4 linked regions of the Saccharomyces cerevisiae S288C genome follow. Each later gene encodes a partner of the first gene's protein in a complex. Each region holds a gene or a part of one and is shown in the gene's direction. Other genes may lie near its edges.

Region 1 (6,212 bases):
AAAAGAATGATAATTTCCGTGGCTATCGGAAAAGAGGAAGACAAGAACTGAGGAAGATTAAAAGATCTTCTGCCAGAACTGAAGGCGGAAGCACAGAAACATTAGAGGACGTAGCAGAAGATATTGACCATAGATCCGATGAGGATGAAGTGTCCGATGTCGACAGTGGCGATGATTTCGATATTGAGGATGAAGAGGGTAAAAAGGAAAAAGTTTATGACGCTTTATTGACGATTCTCAAATCTGAACATCCAGAGCCAAAAAGAAGAAGGCGAGAGGCTGACGAGAGTAACAAAGCTCCTGCCGAAGTTGGGGAGGATGAGCACGAAAATACAGAACATGGACCAGTGGATGATCAATTGGAGATAGAGAATGGCCTTTTGGGTAATCACGAGGATGATAACGACGATGACAGCAGTGGAGACGAAAAAGATATAGACAGTGAAGATGAGCAAGATCCTTTCGAGTCTCATTTCAACCAAGTTCCGGAGAAATTCGTTGATAAGTTGTCGAATGCTTTCAAGACCAAAAGTGTAAAATACAAATCCGTAAAGGGCTCACTAAGTGACAGTGAATCATATATATATGCTAAACCGGTAGTAATTGGTGAGGAAGCATTGGTGGAAAGTCCGTACAGGTCATCATCTATATATTCATACTTTTTGAAACAAAGGCTAAAAGTGCAAAATGGACTATTGGATAAAAAAACTGATCCATTGACTGCTTTGCAAAAAAAATTAGTAGACCCCATGTTTCAGTATAAAGACATATTATACGAGTATGACTCCTACGAAAAGGACGAAGACGAGTACAGAGATTTATATGCTTTGCATGTTTTGAATCACATCTACAAGACAAGAGATAGAATCTTGAAAAATAATCAAAGATTACAGGATAACCCAGACACTGAACACCTAGATCAAGGTTTTACAAGACCAAAAGTGTTAATTGTAGTCCCTACTAGAGAGGTGGCGTACCGCGTTGTAGATAAGATAATTTCAAAATCTGGTATAGATCAGGTTGACAAGAAGGGAAAGTTCTACGACCAATTCCGTGACGACTCCTTACCTCCAAAGTCCAAACCAAAATCTTTCCAACACATATTTAGGGGGAACACCAACGATTTTTTTGTTGTCGGTCTCAAATTCACAAGAAAGGCTATAAAACTTTATAGCAATTTTTACCAGTCTGACATTATTGTATGTTCGCCATTGGGTATTCAAATGATCTTAGAAAATACAGATAAAAAAAAGAGGCAGGACGATTTTTTGTCCTCAATAGAGTTGATGGTGATTGATCAATTACATTCAATAGAATACCAGAACATATCTCATATTTTCACCATCTTTGACCATCTTAACAAAATCCCGGATCAACAACATGAAGCTGACTTTAGCAGAATTCGGATGTGGTACATTAATGAACAAGCTAAGCTCTTCAGACAGACAATGGTATTCACAAAATACATCTCGCCAGCGGCTAATTCATTAATCAATGGTAGATGCCGTAACATGGCAGGAAGATGGAAGAATCACAAGGTAATAGGATCAGAAAACTCCAGTATTGGGCAATCCGGTTTGAAAATCAGGCAAATCTTTCAAAGATTTGACATTATTGGGAATTCGATTATTGAAGAGCCTGACTACAGATTTAAATTTTTTACAAGTGTCATCATTCCTGGTATTGTCAAATCCACCGGGTATGAAGACGGAATACTGATTTACATTCCTGATTACACTGATTTCATTCGTATTAGAAACTACATGAAAGAGAAGACGACGATTTTATTTGGGGATATAAATGAGTACTCTAGCCAAAGACAGCTCAATGCAAATAGGTCATTGTTTCAACAGGGGCGTCTAAAAGTTATGTTGTATACGGAAAGACTGCACCATTATAGACGTTATGAAATCAAGGGTGTCAAGAGCGTCGTTTTTTATAAGCCTCCAAACAATCCTGAATTTTACAATGAAGTTGTCAGATTTATTGGTAAGAACGCCTTTCTAGGTAATACCGATTTAAACATATCCACTGTTAGATGCATTTATAGCAAGCTTGATGGTCTTTCACTCGAAAGAATTGTGGGGACGAAAAGAGCAGCTGTATTATCGCATGCACAAAAGGAAATTTATGAATTTAAATAAATATTAGCACTGCCACAATGTATAGAGTACACAATGAAGAATATTATCATTCACAAATACTTTTAATCGCTTTCTTTCTTGTTCGTTGTGTTCACAAGAAAAGGGTTTATTACTTCAGGGAACTTTCTGCTCTTAGTTTCTATATTTTCGCTTTTTGCTGAACCAGTTGCTTTATTGGTCTCTGCGTCTACCCTCTTGGACCTAGTAATACATTGAATACTATCAAAGCTTGCAGGTGATCGGAGAGTCGCATTTATGGTTTCATGCGGTGATATATAATTAGAAGGACGGTCATTAAAATGTGCACTCCTCGTGCGCACAGCAAAGTTATGCAGTGGGTAGCACTTTCGAGTTTTCAAATTAAGCATTTTGCTGTCTTCGTAAATGTTTCCTGGAATATTTCTGAGGCCCGCGATACGGCTTAGCCTATTTATTTCCATAGACACTCCAGGGCTTTTGAAGCTTTCTGATGGATTTAACTTTTTCTCCTTTTCGTTTGTCATGAACGGATTAAACTGGGCAATATCTTTAACCTGGCTACTCTTGCTGATTTCATTTTTTTTTACTGGATTACTAACTGTCGCAGAGCTTGTGGGCGGAAACATATACTCTGTTGAGGAGAAGCTATTCGATATACCACTATCTAGAACGCTCCCGATCTTTGTGCCCTGAATTTCAGCGTTTTTTTGAAATATATTTGATGTTATAGGTTGTAGTGAGTTTTTCTTGACGGCGCAGCACCTCTCATTCAAAGAACGTGAGTTTCCATCCATACGTTCATCATAAGTTGTAGTTTCCTCCTTCGTGCCTAAAACTTCATCATTAATTAGGTCAATATTAATTGTGCCTGTAACCAAACTGCCGCTATTCAAAATCGATATTGGCTCCACTGCACATTGTTGAGATTTACTGTTTTTAAGATTCGTATGGAGATCGCTTAAATTGGTGTGTCCATTTTTTGATGTGTATGCATTGGCAGAAACATTCCTAGATGTAAGAATATTCTTTTCCTCATCCATGACAAGAAAGAGCCGCATTCCAGGTTCATTTTGTTTCCGACGTTTAGGATCGGGTATGTGTTGACTGTTCTTATCAAAGTAATTTTTCTTATCACTCTTTTCAATAACCTTATTCTTACTTATAGTTTTAGTATTCGATAATTTGCTAACGATAGCAGTATTCTTACTCTTTGGAGTACAAATGTCGGAATCCCTCGTATTTTTATACCGGTATTTTTTATGATTAGATGCTCTCTTCGCAAATTCACAGGCAGTTATCAATAGTGCTAAATTCAAAGTCATTGGGAATGCACAATTTTCCAGTTGCTTTTGCAACTGTGGCTCCAATTTTGTGAGGAATAGATCCAACGCAGCACCAGAAGACAGATAATATGGAGTTAGACGTCCCGATTTATGGGCAAATGCTTCTAATGACTTCTCAGAATCAATGGACAACGTCAATAGTTCCGTAAAAATTTCCCTTCTTAAAGATCTTGCTCCATCAAATTCTTCTGATAGTAGAGCAAGAAATTTTTCAAAACTGTAAGCCTTTATCACATGGTCATCGATTCCCTCCGTTGTAGAATCAAACCATGTCTTAGCCCGGCCGGATAATGCAGAGCTTATAAGAAGTTTCAAAAACGTTCCTGTACAGCATAGTCCAAATAAGATATCTGTAATATCATCGGCCCATTGGACGAATATATTGTTATCATCACCGTCTTCAGCACTGAATTTTTTCAGATGACTCACTTTATCTAGCATTTTGAACGCTTGTTCATCGTCATCAATCTGTCTTGTAACACAAAAATTATTACACGCTATGGGCAAAGTTTCGCTCCTCTTTCTACGTCCACTGTGTCCCTTCTTGCTTCGCGGCGGCAGGGTATTTCCATTAGCTATTGTATCACTATAGTTATTAGTTCCCGACTCGTATGCCATGTTTTTGGATCTCATTTGCACCATTAAGCAAAAAGAATCTGTTGAACGAGGACCCTAACCCAAGACAGCTAATATACTGCTTTTTTATGACATTTTTCATTTGGTCTTCATTCTTGCGCATCTTCTTTGAGAGTTGAAATTTCTTTGATACTTCGGCAATTACAGAAAAGTGCAAGTTACAAGCAATAAAACCAATAATATTTAGATACTGCACAAAAGTCTAAGAAAATAACCTCATTAGAAGCTTGGAAAAGGAAGAAGGACATTGCGCACCATTCAAGAAGAAGATCTTAGAATTCTGAGAAATGAAGATACAAACAAATGCTGTAAACGTCCTTCAACGGACGTCCGCTTACTTGAAATCAGGATTGTTGAAAGAAACACCTGCGTGGTACAACGTTGTAGCGTCTATCCCACCATCAACCAAGTTTACACGTGAACCTCGTTTTAAGAATCCTTCCAATGGACACATCATAGGAAAACTTGTTGACGTAACAGAACAACCGCATGCCAACAATAAGGGACTTTACAAGACAAGACCCAACTCGAGCGACAAAAGGGTGGGCGTGAAAAGGCTGTACAGGCCACCTAAACTAACATACGTTGAGGATAGGCTCAGATCGCTCTTTTACAAACAACATCCATGGGAGTTGTCGAGACCTAAGATTTTAGTGGAAAACGAAATTGGTGATGAAAACTACGATTGGAGCCATATGCTTCAGATAGGAAGACCACTCGATGGTGAAAGTGTTATCCAGCGAACTATGTACTTAATCAAAACGAAGCAGTATGGGGACATGGTCGAAGCATATGACCATGCCAGATATGAATTCTATGCGTTGAGAATGCAAGAAGAAACAGAGCAGCAAGTGGCTTTGGAAGAAGCGGAGATGTTCGGATCCCTCTTTGGAGTTTCTGCCATTGAACATGGTATACAAAAGGAACAAGAGGTCCTAGACGTCTGGGAAAAGAAGGTAGTTGAAGAAACTGAACTAATGGCAGCAAGGACAAGTAACCCTGCAGGGTCGTGGAAGGACGACACTACATTGAATACGGCGCAAGAAGAAGAATCCACCACTTCCGAGAACCTCCACTTCTAGGTGGGCTGCCTCTTTTCTCCAACGTCACCTAACCAACCTGTATATAATTAAAAACAAACGAGAACAACACATGTAGTGCTAAGTAATTGTCGTTCTCAAATTCCACCTCGATTTTTTCAACTGCACTGAAAATTCCCACTCTTTTTTTTTTTTTTTTTTTTTTTTTTCACTTTTTTCCCGTGGAAAAATATTCTTAAGATGACTCTAATTAGAGGAAAGAACAACAAGAAACTAAACTGGTTCTACAGTTATATAAGGACATCTTAACTGATTTAGAATTAGCTAAGACTGTATCTATGCGATTATTATATTAGTGCGACATATTTATATAACTAAGATAGTAACGCACTCAAAAAGATGTTTAGATCTGTTGCTACTAGATTATCTGCCTGCCGTGGGTTAGCATCTAACGCTGCTCGCAAATCACTCACTATTGGTCTTATCCCCGGTGACGGTATCGGTAAGGAAGTCATTCCTGCTGGTAAGCAAGTTTTGGAAAACCTTAACTCCAAGCACGGCCTAAGCTTCAACTTTATTGATCTCTACGCCGGTTTCCAAACATTCCAAGAAACAGGAAAGGCGTTGCCTGATGAGACTGTTAAAGTGTTGAAGGAACAATGTCAAGGTGCTCTTTTCGGTGCAGTTCAGTCTCCAACTACTAAGGTGGAAGGTTACTCCTCACCAATTGTTGCTCTAAGGAGGGAAATGGGCCTTTTCGCTAATGTTCGTCCTGTTAAGTCTGTAGAGGGAGAAAAGGGTAAACCAATTGACATGGTTATCGTCAGAGAAAATACTGAGGACCTGTACATTAAAATTGAAAAAACATACATTGACAAGGCCACAGGTACAAGAGTTGCTGATGCCACAAAGAGAATATCCGAAATTGCAACAAGAAGAATTGCAACCATTGCATTAGATATTGCCTTGAAAAGATTACAAACAAGAGGCCAAGCCACTTTGACAGTGACTCATAAATCAAATGTTCTATCTCAAAGTGATGGTCTATTCAGAGAAATCTGTAAGGAAGT
Region 2 (6,247 bases), on another chromosome or scaffold:
TCTACGCCTCATTGAGGGATCAAGACCCATCTCGTGCTGCATACCCGGGTCATCATTTGCCAGGGGAATGAAGCGATTAGTACTAGTCAATGCCTTTTCTCCAAACTGACCTTGTGGAGAAGCCTGTAGTTCAGACCCGCTCTGAGAATTGCTGCCATCTACGAAAGGACGAGGATACTCTTGCGTTTGTGTATGTTCCGCAGATGTCGGTACCAAGGGCTTGGACAGCAGGGCGTGGTCTGCCTCTGTCAAAGACCTATTTCCCATATTAATGATATAGTAGCAGTATTCAAGCAAGTACACGTGCGCAAGTTGTACCAGATAGTGACTGTCCAGCGTTACTTTCTCGCCTGCTCTGTATTACTCTTGTTGTCACTCCGCAATATCTCAAAGCCATTAATATGTACTAACTTGAATTTTTCATGCTCCCTTAAACGAAAATAACCCTACTGAGATTTTCACCTTTATAGGGTTATATGCTAAAATAAGTAGGTCTTATCATGCAACCTTTAGGGTCCAAGCCCTTAAATCCGACAGTCGGGCAAGCCCATTTTCCCAACGATTTTTCAACGGTTTTTTTGCCTGCAGGGCATCGGCAATTTGACAATACTCACGACCGATGGATGCAGCAATCAACGTAAAAACCTTACTTAGCCGGTTACTCATGTATATGTCAGACATATATACACACGCACACATATATATATACGTACATGTTGGCACCCTTCTGTTAATAGAATTTGATTTCTTTTCTAAAGGCATATCAGTATCATCAGTTGAAACAGTAAGGAGCTCCGCAAGCGCAATATTAACTTTACAAAAGTGATTCTGGTTCCTAACTTTTCTATTGTTTTCCATTTTCGTCATTCGTTTTGTTATTAGTCGCCTTAATTGAGTCAAGCAAGATAAAAGAAGAAAAAAAATGAGTATCACCACTACTAGAAGAAGAAACCAAGATAGTGTCTGCTGCAAGGCAACGAGAGCCTCCATTAAGGTGGAAGCTGTCTCAGGCCAGACAGTTTTTGAAAAGCAAAAACTGCTACACAATTTCGATGAGTTGCCAGAATGGCAAAAAGATAATGACAAAATTCTCACCGGGTACGTTCGTGAAACACTGTCATGGAAAAAGTGCTTATATTCTTTATTTTATTGGAACAACGAGACTGTGAACATTTATACACATTTGGTACCGGCTATCGTATACTTCGTGTTTGCCATTACGTTGACCAACTACTTTCTAATTCCCGTTTTCCCCTCCACTTCCTGGTCCGATTACACCGTTATAAACATTTTCTTGATGGGCGCTTTCTCATGTCTCATGTGCAGTAGCTGTTTCCACTGCATGAAGCAACACTCTGAAAAGCAAAGCAATTTCTGGAGCAAGCTCGACTACTTGGGGATTATCAGTTTGATTTCCTGTTCTATGATCCCTATAATATACTTTGGTTACTTCGACCACATATCCTACTTCAGTCTTTTCACGATTGTTACTTTAGTCCTGGCAACATTTTGTACAGTCTGTGTCCTCCACGACAAGTTTAACACTTCCACATTTCGTCCATTTAGGGCCATGTTTTTCATATTGTTTGGATTTAGTGGCTTACTCCCATTGACCACAGGGTTTTTCAAGTTCGGTATCCAAGGGGTTCTTAACAGAATAAAAGTCAGCTTTGTGTTTTGGGAAGCTCTCTTTTACATTTCAGGGGCTGTAATCTACGGGTTTAGGATTCCTGAAACTTTGGCTCCAGGGAAGTTCGATTTCTTCGGTAGCTCTCATCAAATATTTCATATTATGGTGGTTCTTGGTTCTGTATGCCACTTGAAAGCCATTATCGATTCTTACAAATTAATGCATTCTCATATCCACCCTTGATGGGCCTACAACTACTACAAAATCAAATAAATAACATTATATATCTAAGGTTAGAAAATAATTAAATGCAAAAAAAGTCTTTATTCCTTTTTAGATATTCGTCACATCATGCTTTTATCATAGATCGCATTTTGACAGGTACTTCGCTATATTAGCCTAATTAATTTTGGTCTTACTAAAGTGAGTAATGCCGAAAAATTAAACGTTTGAATAAGTGAACCTACTACAAAGGAAAGAGAGGAAGAGAAAAGGATAGGACTAAAAGACTTCCTTATATTTTTCGGTACGCTTGCGTTTCACTGAAGAGAATAAAAAGAACAAATTATATAAATTTAACACACTATGAGCACGAGAACAAAGGCCCTGAATGCATACAGGCATGGCTTAAGAGCAACCCGAATAGCTTTCCGGAATGATGCTGAAGTATTACTAGCCGCGAGAGCTAAAATGCGTTCAGGAATGTTATGTCCCCCAGATCCTAAACTCACCACAGAGGATCAGATTCAACATTTAGAGGATGTGGCTGTTTTTTTGAGACGAAACCTGGTTCAGGGCAAAAAGGTTGATGGCTCAAGTACTAAGGAGCCTAGGTACCATTTGAACATTCACAAAGACACCGAATTGGGTGACAATGAGACGATTGCAGACCCTACGGCAAGAGTGAAAACAAACTTAAAGGCAAGACCATTTAAATGCTCTGATAAAAAGCAATGATAATGCCTTGATTTTGTTTTATCTTCGAAGCTATATACATGTAAATACTTTTTTAGTACCTAGCAACTTTGCTAGGTGGCATATAAACTGATTTAGCACGATATATCGTTGCATTTGTTCTGTTTGTAGTATGTACATGTATACAGCTTGTTGTATTTGATGTGCTACTGAAACAGCGTAGTTGCTAGTGCTTTATCCCTTTTGACGGAAATGAACAAAGCTTTATAGCGGAATTAAACTTAACGAAACTGGAGAAAGCATAAAAGAGGAAAAGGGCAGCGGTAACTCATTAAATAATCTAGTTGGACGAGCCATAATAAGAGAAATAGACGGAGTAGAAAATGCGCTCCTCCATGTTTAGATGTGTGAGTCGCGCTCATTACAGCACAAGTGTCACAGAAGATTTCATAAATAGCATTCTAGCAAGGGCTCAAGAGGCAACAGCAAAAGCTTCCTCCAATGCTCTCAAATTGGACAAGATGAAGGAGGGTAGAATGCAAAATAAGAGGAGAAACGGGAATCAGAATAGGAATAGTATGAACAATAAAGAAAGCAGGGGTAGAGAGGGAAATCAAGGAGAAAGAAACATGAGACTGAAAAACCGTTCTAGTGATTCTGTTCGTGCTAACAAGCAGCAGTGGAATAAAGGTGCTAATACGTCTTTTGTAAAGAATCCTACTGGAAATACAGTAGTTATGCAGCCACAGTTCAAAAAGATGCAGAATGGCAAAAATAATTTGAAAGGAGATGCGAGAGTCGAAGATGATTTACTTGATGTCTTCAATTCGTCGATGGAGCAAAAACCTGTTAATTTCAATGGAACCCCCAAATCTAAAGCAAGGTTTCAAAAAAAGAGTCATATCTTAACAGCATCTAAAAGGAGAAAGGCTCCTCAACAGCAGCTACAGAAGGTTATCAAGAGACCTGTCAGTTCAGAATATGTACTAGAAGAGCCCACTCCTTTATCTTTGTTAGAATATACTCCTCAAGTTTTTCCAACAAAGGAATCCAGATTAGTCAACTTTACCTTAGATAGCTTGAAAAAATCCAATTACCCCATTTACAGATCGCCAAATTTGGGAATCCTCAAAGTACATGATTTCACCCTAAACACGCCAAACTTTGGTAAATATACACCAGGATCCTCCTTGATTTTTGCCAAAGAGCCTCAATTGCAGAATTTACTTATTGAAGAAGACCCAGAAGATTTTCATAGGCAAGTAACAGGAGAATATCAACTCTTAAAACCATATGTGAAAAAAGATTTTGAAAAACTGACGAAATCTAAAGATACTGTGAGTAAGCTCGTACAAAATAGTCAAGTTGTGAGGTTATCATTACAATCTGTTGTTATGGGCTCCGAGGAAAAGAAATTGGTATATGATGTTTGTTCTGGAATGAAACCAATTTCTGAATTACAACAGTAAATCAAACATCGTTATTTCATTCTTACATACCTGTAAATATCTAGTACGTATAAAATTTGAATTGTATGCCTGAACAGAAAAAGAATAGGTGGGCTCTTCTTATCCTTGACTATCAAAATTCCGGCTTAGTTCGTCAGAAATGGATATTTGATTTTTCAACAAACATTTCCGCAAATTAGATTCCTCCTTCTTTTCTTGATACTTAATAAGTACCTTTAAAAGCAATTCGGATATTGTTTGTACGGGAAATACGGAAGGTATAGTTTCGAGGATCTTTAATTGAATATCTGTATCATCTAAAAGTTCAAAATTTCTCTGTAGCAAATTAGTCACTAATTCAACTGAGTAATTCAAAGAAGATATGTCCAAGTATTGTTTCATCACCGCAACCAAGTTCTGCTTGCCTATGTATTTTTCTACACTTCTGAAATCATTAAATGACAAATATATTTTCAGCAATTCTTCGGAAGAAACCCAGTTTGTTAATTCATTGGGGAAAAATAACAAGGTCAATATGTGTTCTTTATCGATCTTGGAAATTTCGTCGAAGGTGAAATTAATAAACTCATCATCTTTTTCATTTTCCGATTTCAAGTTTTCACATTTTTCATAATATTTGGAAAAATTTTCGCACTGAAGACTATGCTTTAATTTGATATGAATAAAATTTGTTATATCTGTCTTATCATACGCGAAATCGTCTTTGTACTCTTTGATAAAATCTCCAAGAATGGACCATATGTTACTTTGGTTGATTATTTCTCGCAATTTCGCCAAATAATAGTTAAAGAGAAATTTGGAATCGTTGCTGTTTTGGACACCGAGTTGTTCTATGAATGATACCTTCAGGGATGTTTCTTCTGCGGGTATTTTGTTTAAAAAGTCGTTTTTATTAATACATGCCATGTCCAATATTTTAAGAACCTTTTTGATGGCGCATTCCTCAGTATTTTCGTCGCCTTGTTTAAGAGTGAGGAGAAGATCATCGGCTATTCTTTCTTTGATATAATCCTCAGGAAGTTTTTTGAGATTTTCTTCAATGAATGAAACTAGTGAAATGTAATCCCCAGCTTCCCTCAAAAGATTTAGTGCTTTAAGATATTCCCCTTTTTCTTTATATATCTCAATTAGTAACTCTATCCTAGGAAGTTTATCATCATGTAAATTAATCTCTCTGATAATTTCGTCGTAACTTTCGCGTTCAAACATATCAACAGTTATAGTTTCCTTTTTTTCCAATCTTAATTTGAATAAAGTTATATCAATAGTTTTCATTATATCATCAAAGTCATTCGTTAAGAGTCCAGTTTTATTCTTTTTCTTTAGTTCATTCTTCATCATCAGAAGCATTTTTAGAATATTCTCGCATTTGTTAGTTAGCTTCAAGCTTTTCAACCTTTCAACTATATTTATTAACCCATGGAAGCACCAGATCTCGCTATAGACTTTCCAGCCAAACATATAAAATAATATTCTGATGTCAACTTTGTCAGAAAAGTCACACCACTTTTTCATTACCTCATCTTCTATGTGATCGTAATGTAAGGTCATTAGAAACAATAAAAGAGACATCAAATATTTCGCTTCAATGTGCTCAAATTTTGTTAAATCCTTCTTCGCAAGCTTTTTCAATTGATCTTCAATATTATCAATTTCGGACTCTTCACATGATGTAAAACGTAAGACCATCGGCGTTGGAACTAATAAATGAATCCCTAAATTATTATAAACGATTAAAGAGGTCTTTTCTTCATAAGACTCTTCAACAAAGGCGCGTTCTCTTTCAATTCTAAATTTATTATCACTATGTGTCAGAGGCTCAAGTCTCAACTTATTGAATATTTTTTCTTTGAATTCTTCAGAATTATTGGTATTAGTGAATACATTGTCAGATTTTGAAATTTTTAAATCCGATCCAGAAGTAGTTATACTTTGCAACAACTGGGATTTTTCACTCGGCAAGGCAGAATATATGTCAACCGACTGGAAAGCAGACTCAGCGATTATGTAGGGAAACTCAACAATTACATTTCTTGGATAATTTTTTAGCACTATAGTTCCTTTTATTATGTCGCCATGATGATTTACCACTAAGGCCATCGCCCCACTATCGTATGATCCTCCTCCAGAACAAACTAAAAATTCACTCTGTTCATTGAAACTGGTTATTATAGGTTCTAAGTCTTCGTCAGTCTCACTTATTCGAAATAATGGAATTACCTGTGACGACTTT
Region 3 (6,017 bases), on another chromosome or scaffold:
ATCTTTCAATAATATGCTTGACTTTGGCTTTGAAATGACCAGTGTGTTCGTGAGACCATCTTAATAACTTTAGAAGTAACTCTGGCACCTTTGGCCTCATCAGTTCTTCTGGAAGCCCCAAAACACAAACCTTGGTAAACCCAATGGCGCTTTTTACAATTTCCCTAGAGTTAGAAGTTAAGTACAATTCAATGGTGTCATATATATCCATTAGTATACCGGAATCGAGTTCATTTTTGAATTCAAAAACTAAACAAGCATAACCCGTAATTGAACTACTAACCATATGTTGAGATTCACCAATAAGACCGGCAGAAATGATCTTAAAAAACTCTGATATTGACGACGATTGATCTGGAGTGGTAGGATCATAACCTGGTATTTGGAATAATTTGATAATACCATTTGGCTCATTCATTTTTCTTCCCATACAAATTAAAGTATCAAAAGCGGTCTCTCTAGATTTTTCATTCACATCCTTTGTACTCAAAATAACCTCAGCGACGGTTCTAACAATGAAATCAAGATGATCTAAAGGTAATAATTCTACTATGGTTTTAATTGCTGTTAATCTTGCAGCTTTAGCAGATGTTTGAACAGAGGAGGCGCTATCTACCATGACATTCTCAATATCCGAAATGAATTGGGCGACAGCTGTTGATCCCGATTTCAACTCAGAAAGCTTTGTAATAATTCTATAAGCTCTTTTTTGAATTAGCGCGTCAGCAGAATTTACGGTGAGGCTAAACATTGAGAATAAAGCAGAATAAGACGAGACAGGTAAGTATGTTATCATACATATGATTAAGTCCAATAGTGTCGCTGTCAATTGAGGCTTTTTCTTTTCTTTGTTCACATTTCCGCTACTTTCTTCATTCATAGAATTCTTCAAAAGACCACATACGTTGTTGAAAGTTTTCTCCAAATCTTCCTTTGAAGTAATCTTTAAATATTGATCAATCGTTTCCAAAATATAACTCCTTGCATTTGGAGTGGTTTGAGTATAAACATTGAACAAAACTGCTAGAAGATTCGTTGATTTGGTTGAAAGGTATTCTATATTCTTTTGAGCTTCAGAAATGGGGAAACGTTGCAACAATAAAACGTTGTGAGAAGAGGACTCTTCGGCATATGAAACATTGCTTTCTGCCAAGACCTTTAAAGCATGACAAATTGTAGTTCTTAACTCAACCTCGCTGTATAATAAAGAAGATAGTTCTGAGGCAAATTCGTCAGTGAAGGATTCCCTCAAGTCCATTGGGAGTTCACAAAACCGTGGAAGTGTAGACCAGATTTGGTCAACAATAGTTTGAAAAACTCTCAATTGAATAGATTCTTCCGGGACTTTATCGAACTTAGATTGAAAACTTTTAATGTATGGTGCCAATTCGTTTTGAAAAGTTGCAAGGTTCGCATTTTTCGTATAATCTCTAATAAGCGGTAACAACCAAGCCCTGCCAGGTCTTTCGGAAGATGGATTGTCTAAATTCAGGGGTGCTTCTGCGAGTATCATTTCAGGGCCCATAGCAGAAATGGAGGCTCCGATTACTAATTCGATTTCATTTCTCAAATCCATAAACTGTTCTTCATTTACTCTCCATGTATCGACTATTTTCAGTGATTTTAAAAAGTGAGGATTAGATCTATATCTGAATTTGTTGAATGCTGCCACCAAAATCTTAAGAATTTCTCTGGAACAATGGGAATATCTAATGGATAAAAAGTCGATAAATGTTTTCGCAATTTGAGAGATGATTTCATCTACGTTTTTGAAAACTTTCTCATCCACACTTGGTGTATACAATAACAAATCATCTTTAACAGACTCAGAAAGGATTGAGATAAGACATTGAGAGGCAGCTTGGTACACTTCTGGAGTTTCACTAGCTAAATATGTGCACATAATGTGAAATACACCAGGAATTTTACGTAGCGCTTTCAGTGGTTGATGTGTTGCGTAAGTGGACATACCCTTAATGACCACAGCAATCCAGGACTTGGTTAATAATGTATCGACATTTGAGGGTTTTAATGCAAAAATGGTATCCAAGACTCTTAGGTACTTATTTTCAGCCAATCCAGAAGAAATGGTAGTTTCTGCCATTGTTTTGAACATGCTTTCAAAACATTCAAATGATGCAGAAACGAGATATTGCTCTGAGCTTTTGGTGACTCCCAATAGTACATCACAAAGAGGCTCAATCTGTGAAGATGGCCACTGTCCAGTAGAGACGACTGAAGTAATCAACCTTAGAGAGCGCATGACACTAGCGTTAATGTCTTCCTTTGTTTTCTGTGCTTTCAATTGTTTATTTGATAAATTCGAGAGATCATTTAAAATACCTGCTAACTGCTTGTCACAGAAATCTGCTACAAAAACTGCCGCTACATGCTCTGCAGTTGGTGCAACAGGAGGGTTTAATAAGACCGCATGAACTGCATCTAGCGCTCTCTTTCTAACTTTTGGTCTTACATCTAAAGAAAGTTCAAGTATACCCTGCAAACCTCTTTTTGGAGTGACGTTTAGATCATAAGTATTGTTCCAGGCTTGTGCATCTTGAGCAATAAGAAGAGATTCTAAACAACCAATAGCAGCTCTAATTAGAGGGGCATTAGCCTTTTCTGCAGTGATACATGGGGCAATTTTCGTTAGGATTTCAGAAAACTTCGATCTTAATAATACCTTAGGCGAATAATGAAATATCAGATCTAGAAGATATGTAGATGAGGAAGCCAATTGAATATCTTTTATTTCATGAGTAGATGGGTCTACTGCTTGATCCAATAGTGACATAAAGGAAATGATATAATTTACAATGTTTTTTGAAACATCATTTGTAGCTTGACCTGCAATATTTTCCTCAACGGCAGTTAATATTATAGCAATATGCTTTTGATTCTCCAATTTAGAGTTTACTTGGGAACGAATTTTAGCCAGCTTGTCCTCCAGCTCTAAAAGAAAAGCAACTTTGTCTTGATCCATGATGAACTCTGAGATTTGCTGATTCAATTCGCGAGATGCTGTTCAAAATCTAGAAATTACCTGGTTGAATTCAATCAGTAAAAAAATAAGTTGAACCTTTTCAAACTAAAACTCTTCTCTGAGAGAATTAACTGCGACCGAGGAAGTTCTAATTGCGCGATGAGATGAGATGATATAATTAAAATTTTAAACACTGCAGCGAAAAGAAAAATTTTCACTAATTATGATCATCTATCATTCAGGACGGAAAAAATGAAATAGTACACCAAGAACAGTTGTAAGAAAAAAGGAAGGGGAATATATACACGACTTAAGTAACGGAGGAGTTCTGACTGGTATTCCGTTAAGAAATTGTAATAGAGTTTATCAAGTATGACCTGTGGTCTAGTACGAATAAGGTTAGCTAGATTTGGAAGAAAAAATAGTCCGGTCTATAATATCGTAGTGGCTAATTCCCGTAAGGCGAGGGATGCTAAACCGATCGAGGTACTAGGAACCTACGTGCCGGTACCCAGCCCAGTGACCAAGAGAGAATTGAAGAGGGGCGTTGTACCTATTAAAGACGTGAAGCTTGATTTTGATAGAACAAAATATTGGATTGGTGTGGGAGCACAACCTAGCGAAACAGTTACTAAACTATTACGAAAGGCTGGTATATTAAATGATGCATGGGCCACTAGTAAGAACAGCAATGTGAATAGGAAAGTTGTATTTGAAAGAATGGAAACATTGGAGTGAAAAAGATCGGAAAAAAAAAAAAAAAGAAAAAGAAAGGAAAGCAAAGGAACGTGTTTTAATTGATGCGAGGTGTATATGTATATGTTGTATATATGTTTTACTTGGCGCTTTTATATCTATCAGACTTGTAAATAATACATCTATGGCCAACCAGAAAATGGAGAATGAGACTTGAAATGGAATAAATTAAATTCTTAATCGAATGTGAAGAAAAGAGAAAGTGTAATAGAATTTCATTAAGATAGTGTCATTATAGGTCATGTATTGTGTGCTCCTGACTGTTCGGCACTATTTACCTTTTAAGACGCAATAAATCTCTTTTTAGCTTCAATGATTCATTTGGTAAAATAGAGGATTCTTCAGTGGACACGTTTGCTGTAGGTAAACGAGTACTAGCTAAGGGGGACGATATGATATTGCTACGTTGTCTCGATAGCAGAGCTATGTTAAAATTAAATGCGGAATCTGTTGTAGGCGTTGGCGTGAGTAAAGAAAAGGCATTACTGTTGCTAACACTATTGTTAGAATTTGTGCGGGCTAAGATAGGTTGTGGTTGTAATTCTGAAATATACTGGGACGAGCCATTTCTATTCTTCATTGAGACGTTGGATCTTTGTAAGGAATACCAGTTCAACGTGTTGGTCAGGCTGGTAGTAGAGCTTACATTCGGATTCGAGTTTGTGTTTGATAAGGGGATTGGATCGGTAATATCTGCGTTAACAAACGGGGAGGGAACTCTAAGCATTTCAGAAAACTGTGGTGGGGGTGGTGGGGGTAAAGAAGTTAAAGAAGTGTTACGAGAAAGATAGCCGTCTTTTCTGACCTCTTGCAACAAGCGCTGTCTTACCAATGTTAAAAGCCAGCTATTTCTGTCACATCCGATATCCAATTGTTGAAGCTCAGATTGCTGTATAGCCGCTTTGGCAACTCTATTCAATATTCCTGAGGGAGGGTTTGTAGTATCAAACGGAGTTATCGTAGGATCGCTGCACGTGTTTTGGTAAACTTCTAATAGAAGGCCGACAAACTGCGGTGTGAACGAAGTGAATTGAGCGTTATTGTTGTAAAAGGTATGTTGTTTGAAATTCTGAGCGAAATCGGAAACGGAACTCGCCAGCGAAGAGGCGCTATTCTGTCTGGTTCTATTAGCATTGAGGTAAGGTGGAAAATACGAGGCATCCGAGCTTTTCGCCTGATTGGAGCTGCTATTATTTATAGGAGTCATTACCGGAGTGAAAACGGGAGTGGACAAGTTTCTGTCAAATGCAATCATGTCATCGTAATCACAATTTAACAACGGCTGAGGGTCCTGAGTTTGATGTTGAGCTTCTGGTTGGATGGGCAACGCGTCTTCGGGCTTGCAATTCTTGTCCTTATTTTCTTGAGATCGCCTAGAAGAGCCGGCGTGTAATCTCTTGTGCAATCTTTCCAGCAGCATTCTATATCCTATTAAACTGGTTCTAGTTCGCTTTACTAAGAAGGGAATTACAGGTTGAAGCTAGGGGGAGGAAAATACACGCTTCTATAATAGCATTCTTATATATGTTTATCTACAAGGGAAATAGAGCTATACGAAAAAAATAGAAACAGAGACAGCAACAGGAAACAGAAACAGAAACAAAAACAGAACTTTGTTTAAAGTTCGGAGTTCAAGCGTCATTTCTACACTAGTTCTTGATGAGACCTAATGAGTTTGACGTGCCTATCCAGATTGGGTGACGCGTAAAGGAGTATACCTCCTTTTTTCGCTTCACTTGAGCTTAAAATGACCATTTCTATTTCCCAAAGTGGGCATATGTCTTCCCCCTGCGCGAGTTCCGGAGTGGCAAAAAAATGTAGTAAGAAGCCGCCCTTCCCGCGCCGTTTTCCTTACGGAGGCGTCTCCCGCCCTACGCAGAGGCCCCCTGCCTGCGTGCTTTCTGCCGTCCAGCTATGGCCCAGCATTAACTCTGTTAGCTTCGCCGATCTTAAGAATAAGGAATAGACCACATTCTCTGCATGTGTTTCCATCTTTCGTAACTGTCTCTGTATCAGTAAATGTCGCTATCTGTGCCCGTCACTGAGCTACCAACCAGACGTACCGCGATCTCTCCGTGTTTCGATGTCTGTTTCTACCGCCTCTACAGAGATGTCGGTTAGGAAGATCGCTGCTCATATGAAAAGCAACCCCAACGCTAAAGTAATCTTTATGGTGGGTGCCGGGATATCCACTTCTTGTGGGATACCAGACTTCCGATCTCCGGGAACTGGCCTGTACCATAACTTGGCCAGGTTGAAGTTGCCGTACCCTGAAGCA
Region 4 (4,238 bases), on another chromosome or scaffold:
CGGTGTTGAAACTTGAGGACTTCCCGGCAATCCTGTGGTTGTGTTGAAAGTCTTGAACATTTTATCTTCACCGTTTGTTTCCGTGACATCCTGATAGAATTTGACAATATCCATGACTGCTTGCATGTTTTGCTGTTGTTCTCTTTTGGAAATACCACTAGAAGTCAACAATTTTTCCCATTCCTCCGGCAAACCTGTGTACTCACCAGTCTTGGAGTCCACGCCCACATGGTGGATATGCTTGGCATTGTATGGCGTAGATATCCTCAAAGCGGTGGTTATAGAAGATGAGGAAGAATTATTGGACGACGATGAGGCCCTTTTATCATCCTGAGAATTTCTCTTTATATTCTGTACAAAGGACGTAAAGACATCTTTCATTCTTAGTGTACCACTATTTGAACCGCTTTTCCTTTTTTTCGAAGAGGAAGAATAATACGATTTTTCTGTTTGCTTTTTAGGTGGAGAGGAGTTTTTTAAAGGATTTTTCGAAGGAAAGCTTTTTTTCACAGAAACCGGTTTACTTTTTGCTTCAGGCTTGGACGGTTTAACTTTTGGTTTATGTTGCTTATGCTTAGGGTTCGAAAGCGAATGGGAAGCTGAATTGATCTGTCTTGGCGTGGTTGTCATCGATGGTTTAGAGATAACGGGAGTGGACACTGGTGTAGCCCTTCGTATATCAGTGGAGCTCTTATTCGAGTTTACTGTGGAAGATGCAACTGGCTGCTGGTGCTTCACTGTCGCGTTATTTTCTATAGTTTCTGTAGAATCTGTTAACGACAGTTTTGATAGTAAAGTGTCATTAAACTGGTGATCTGACTCGGACGCATTTATGGTAGAAAATGTGTTGTCAGCAGAATGATCCGGGGTTATATTGCTGGTATTTATGTTTGGAGTGACTGCTTCTAGAGATTTGGTTTCATCGATGTTAGAATGAGGACTCATGGATGAAGACATTCCACTGATGACAGAGGAGGAAGATACTCGGGTAAATTGAATAGGATCATCTAGTGAAACGACATTATTGTCATCATCATTGGTTGTCTCCGCGTTCTTCGCAGGATCCATGGATTTGTATCCACCAGCTTCATGGGCAGCATTAGTGCCTTTTTGTAAGGCATTGACGTTCAAAGTTCCAGTGGTCCTTGGTAATCGTAATCCATCGCCGCCATCGCCATTGCCGCCCATGGCCCTTTCATTGTCATTGCTGATACCGTTATCAAGACTGTCCTTGTCTGGTAGTTCCGATACAGCAGATGGATCATTGCTCATTTCTTGTATTAGTCGAGGATCTTGTGGGATATTTAGGATGGGGTGTGAGGCAGTGAAGGGAAGAAGTTTGGGTTGCTTGCTACCTCGCTCTAATTGTACGTACGGATGTATGTCTTTAAGAAAGTATGTAAGTGTGTGTAGTATGTGAGTATCTATGTAAGCATGCGTTGCTAATGCGAATTTACGGATGCCTCTTTTTGGTTTCGTATTTTTCCTCTCTGGCCAGGTGACTTTCTGAATTTTTCAGCTGCCAAAAGCGGTAGACTTTCGAATTCCCTCTCTTGGCCGTGTTTCGGGCCACGAGGCGAAAATTTTTTTTTTTTAATCGAAAAAAAAAGGAAAAAAAGATTAACGTTTCTTTTTCGTTCTATCGTCTTCTACGATATCGCATGTAACACAATGCAGCTATCTGATAATATGGTCCCAGAATCGCAATAGCCGGGCAGGCACGCTACTAGAAGGCGGTTCTGGATAGAATTCAACTTTAGATGGCAGACTGAGGCACTGCCGTAACACAAGGCTAAGTAGCCGCAGCTGTTGCGGTCCATCTTGTGTCGCGGTGAGATCCCACAATCCATAGACGAGTACATTAGAGTATTGCGGACCATTCGCCTGCGCTTGCATCCGGGTGAGGTACATGTATAAGTACTTTACCCGGCCCAAAAAAACTACGGATACCCGCTCCCGGCTTGCCACGTGACCTGCCACAGTGTTCGTAGTCACGTGCTCCTTCAGTCCTCCTAACTCTACGTACTTCCTGGCAGTGTCTCCAAGGACTATCACCAGTACGTTTGGGCTTGACTGATCCAGGCTCCAATCGCTTTCTACTAGCTGTTGCAACCGCTCTTCAAACTGCATATTGTATCCTGCTGCTGCTGTTGTTGCACCCGTTATTGCACCTGAGCATTAATATATGCGTATATGTATCTATCTATGTATATGTGTATGTGTAATATGTATACGTTTATGTTAATGCATAAACTGTAATGAAACGAATACTCACCCGCTTGCTCTCTCTCACGTATAACACACGCATACTGCCCTATTTTCCTGTTTATCTCGGTAAGAAAAGGCCGTGCCGGGTCAGAAAAGAGTGCAAGAAAAAAATCAATTCGGTAAGTGAATCCGAGAGATGAAATTTGTATGTCGTAGGTCACTGCTATATTTGATGGTAAATAATAATCAGTTCTGGCAAGTGTACATACGCTCGAGAGCCTGATTATCGCGGGGCACAAATACAGGTGATTCGAGAAATAAAAAGTGAGAAACGACTCTTTTCTCATGCAGAGACACGTTTTTGCGAGGAATTTCAGACGTCTTTCCTTATTGAGGAACCCTTCCCTTACCAAAAGGTTTCAGTCGTCAGCATCCGGTGCGGCCAACACCCCTAACAATAACGATGAGGTGATGCTGTTGCAACAGAAACTTTTGTATGATGAAATTAGATCAGAATTGAAGTCTCTATCTCAGGTACCAGAAGATGAAATATTACCTGAGTTGAAAAAGTCATTAGAGCAAGACAAACTCTCTGACAAAGAACAGCAGCTGGAGGCTGAATTGAGTGACTTTTTCAGAAATTATGCTCTGTTGAACAAGTTGTTTGACAGCAAGACATTAGATGGACAATCTTCTACAACGACAGCAGCAGCCACGCCAACCAAGCCTTACCCTAACCTTATACCTTCGGCCAATGACAAACCATATTCCTCTCAAGAACTTTTCTTGCGTCAACTAAACCATTCCATGCGTACCGCTAAATTGGGTGCCACTATTTCGAAGGTTTACTATCCTCATAAGGACATTTTCTATCCGCCCCTCCCAGAAAACATTACTGTTGAGAGCTTAATGTCTGCTGGTGTTCACTTGGGCCAGTCTACCTCACTTTGGAGGTCTTCCACACAATCCTACATATACGGTGAATATAAAGGTATTCACATAATAGATCTAAACCAAACTTTGTCCTATTTGAAGAGAGCCGCCAAGGTAGTAGAGGGCGTTTCGGAATCCGGTGGCATTATCCTATTTCTGGGTACAAGACAAGGCCAGAAAAGAGGGCTCGAGGAAGCTGCTAAGAAGACACATGGTTATTATGTGTCTACCAGATGGATCCCGGGTACTTTGACGAATTCTACAGAAATTTCAGGTATCTGGGAGAAGCAGGAAATCGACTCTAATGACAATCCCACCGAAAGAGCGTTATCACCGAATGAAACATCAAAGCAGGTTAAGCCTGACTTGCTGGTCGTATTAAATCCCACAGAAAATAGAAACGCTTTGTTAGAAGCAATTAAATCAAGGGTCCCAACTATCGCAATCATCGATACTGACTCCGAACCTTCTTTGGTGACCTACCCTATCCCAGGTAACGATGATTCATTGAGATCTGTCAATTTCTTACTAGGAGTCTTGGCGAGAGCTGGCCAAAGAGGCTTGCAAAATCGCTTGGCCAGAAATAACGAAAAATGAACACTTTTATTTTCTTTTGGCTTGTTAACCTAAACTTGTACATATGCCCATATATCCTTAAATATATATATATAGCCAACCCGAAGACGCTAAATAAACGCATTTTTTTTTTTTTTTACAGAATTATTACTTTCGTACTTGGGTTTATGCTTCTTATAACAACAACTATGAGCTATACCATGTTAACTTGGCCTTCATACAGGGGGGAAATCATATGATGATACGTATTCTCCTTAAGATACGTTTATTCACACTTTTCCTTAGATTCTTCATTTTCAGCGCTCTCATCAGAATCACTGTCACTTCTTTCGTCCTTTTGGATACCTTGCCATATCAATCTGTACAAGATTCTAAGAATTAAAAACAGCCAATACAGGTTAACTAATTGTAACGCAGCAATTAGTACAAATACAATTGGCAACGAAATCCAACATTTGTATTGTTGTGTGGCAAAATTCAACACATAATTACCTTCATGACGGAATTCTGTTAAGACTGAC

The links.
Region 2: RSM25 (region 1) and RSM28 share a complex: the UniProt entries of both Saccharomyces cerevisiae proteins name them as parts of the mitochondrial small ribosomal subunit.
Region 3: RSM25 (region 1) and MRPS16 share a complex: the UniProt entries of both Saccharomyces cerevisiae proteins name them as parts of the mitochondrial small ribosomal subunit.
Region 4: RSM25 (region 1) and MRP4 share a complex: the UniProt entries of both Saccharomyces cerevisiae proteins name them as parts of the mitochondrial small ribosomal subunit.

What each region holds. Positions count from the first base shown.
Region 1 is NC_001141.2:186,962-193,173, reverse strand, and holds RSM25 (mitochondrial 37S ribosomal protein mS23 RSM25), read left to right. Parts: upstream 1-4,389; coding exon 4,390-5,184; downstream 5,185-6,212. Other genes in the region: rRNA-binding ribosome biosynthesis protein UTP25, read left to right, coding at 1-2,144; YIL092W (uncharacterized protein), read right to left, coding at 2,207-4,108; LYS12 (homoisocitrate dehydrogenase), read left to right, coding at 5,542-6,212. UniProt on the Saccharomyces cerevisiae protein: Component of the mitochondrial ribosome (mitoribosome), a dedicated translation machinery responsible for the synthesis of mitochondrial genome-encoded proteins, including at least some of the essential transmembrane subunits of the mitochondrial respiratory chain.
Region 2 is NC_001136.10:1,434,002-1,440,248, forward strand, and holds RSM28 (mitochondrial 37S ribosomal protein mS46 RSM28), read left to right. Parts: upstream 1-2,928; coding exon 2,929-4,014; downstream 4,015-6,247. Other genes in the region: serine/threonine protein kinase PKH1, read right to left, coding at 1-267; IZH1 (PAQR-type receptor), read left to right, coding at 923-1,873; MZM1 (Mzm1p), read left to right, coding at 2,216-2,587; CORVET complex subunit VPS3, read right to left, coding at 4,114-6,247. UniProt on the Saccharomyces cerevisiae protein: Component of the mitochondrial ribosome (mitoribosome), a dedicated translation machinery responsible for the synthesis of mitochondrial genome-encoded proteins, including at least some of the essential transmembrane subunits of the mitochondrial respiratory chain.
Region 3 is NC_001148.4:526,689-532,705, reverse strand, and holds MRPS16 (mitochondrial 37S ribosomal protein bS16m MRPS16), read left to right. Parts: upstream 1-3,355; coding exon 3,356-3,721; downstream 3,722-6,017. Other genes in the region: mRNA-binding protein RRP12, read right to left, coding at 1-2,983; CIP1 (Cip1p), read right to left, coding at 4,014-5,159; histone deacetylase HST2, read left to right, coding at 5,823-6,017. UniProt on the Saccharomyces cerevisiae protein: Component of the mitochondrial ribosome (mitoribosome), a dedicated translation machinery responsible for the synthesis of mitochondrial genome-encoded proteins, including at least some of the essential transmembrane subunits of the mitochondrial respiratory chain.
Region 4 is NC_001140.6:96,666-100,903, forward strand, and holds MRP4 (mitochondrial 37S ribosomal protein uS2m MRP4), read left to right. Parts: upstream 1-2,553; coding exon 2,554-3,738; downstream 3,739-4,238. Other genes in the region: mitogen-activated protein kinase kinase kinase kinase STE20, read right to left, coding at 1-1,272; SHU1 (Shu1p), read right to left, coding at 1,678-2,130; YHL005C (uncharacterized protein), read right to left, coding at 2,163-2,555; sphingosine N-acyltransferase LAG1, read right to left, coding at 3,983-4,238. UniProt on the Saccharomyces cerevisiae protein: Component of the mitochondrial ribosome (mitoribosome), a dedicated translation machinery responsible for the synthesis of mitochondrial genome-encoded proteins, including at least some of the essential transmembrane subunits of the mitochondrial respiratory chain.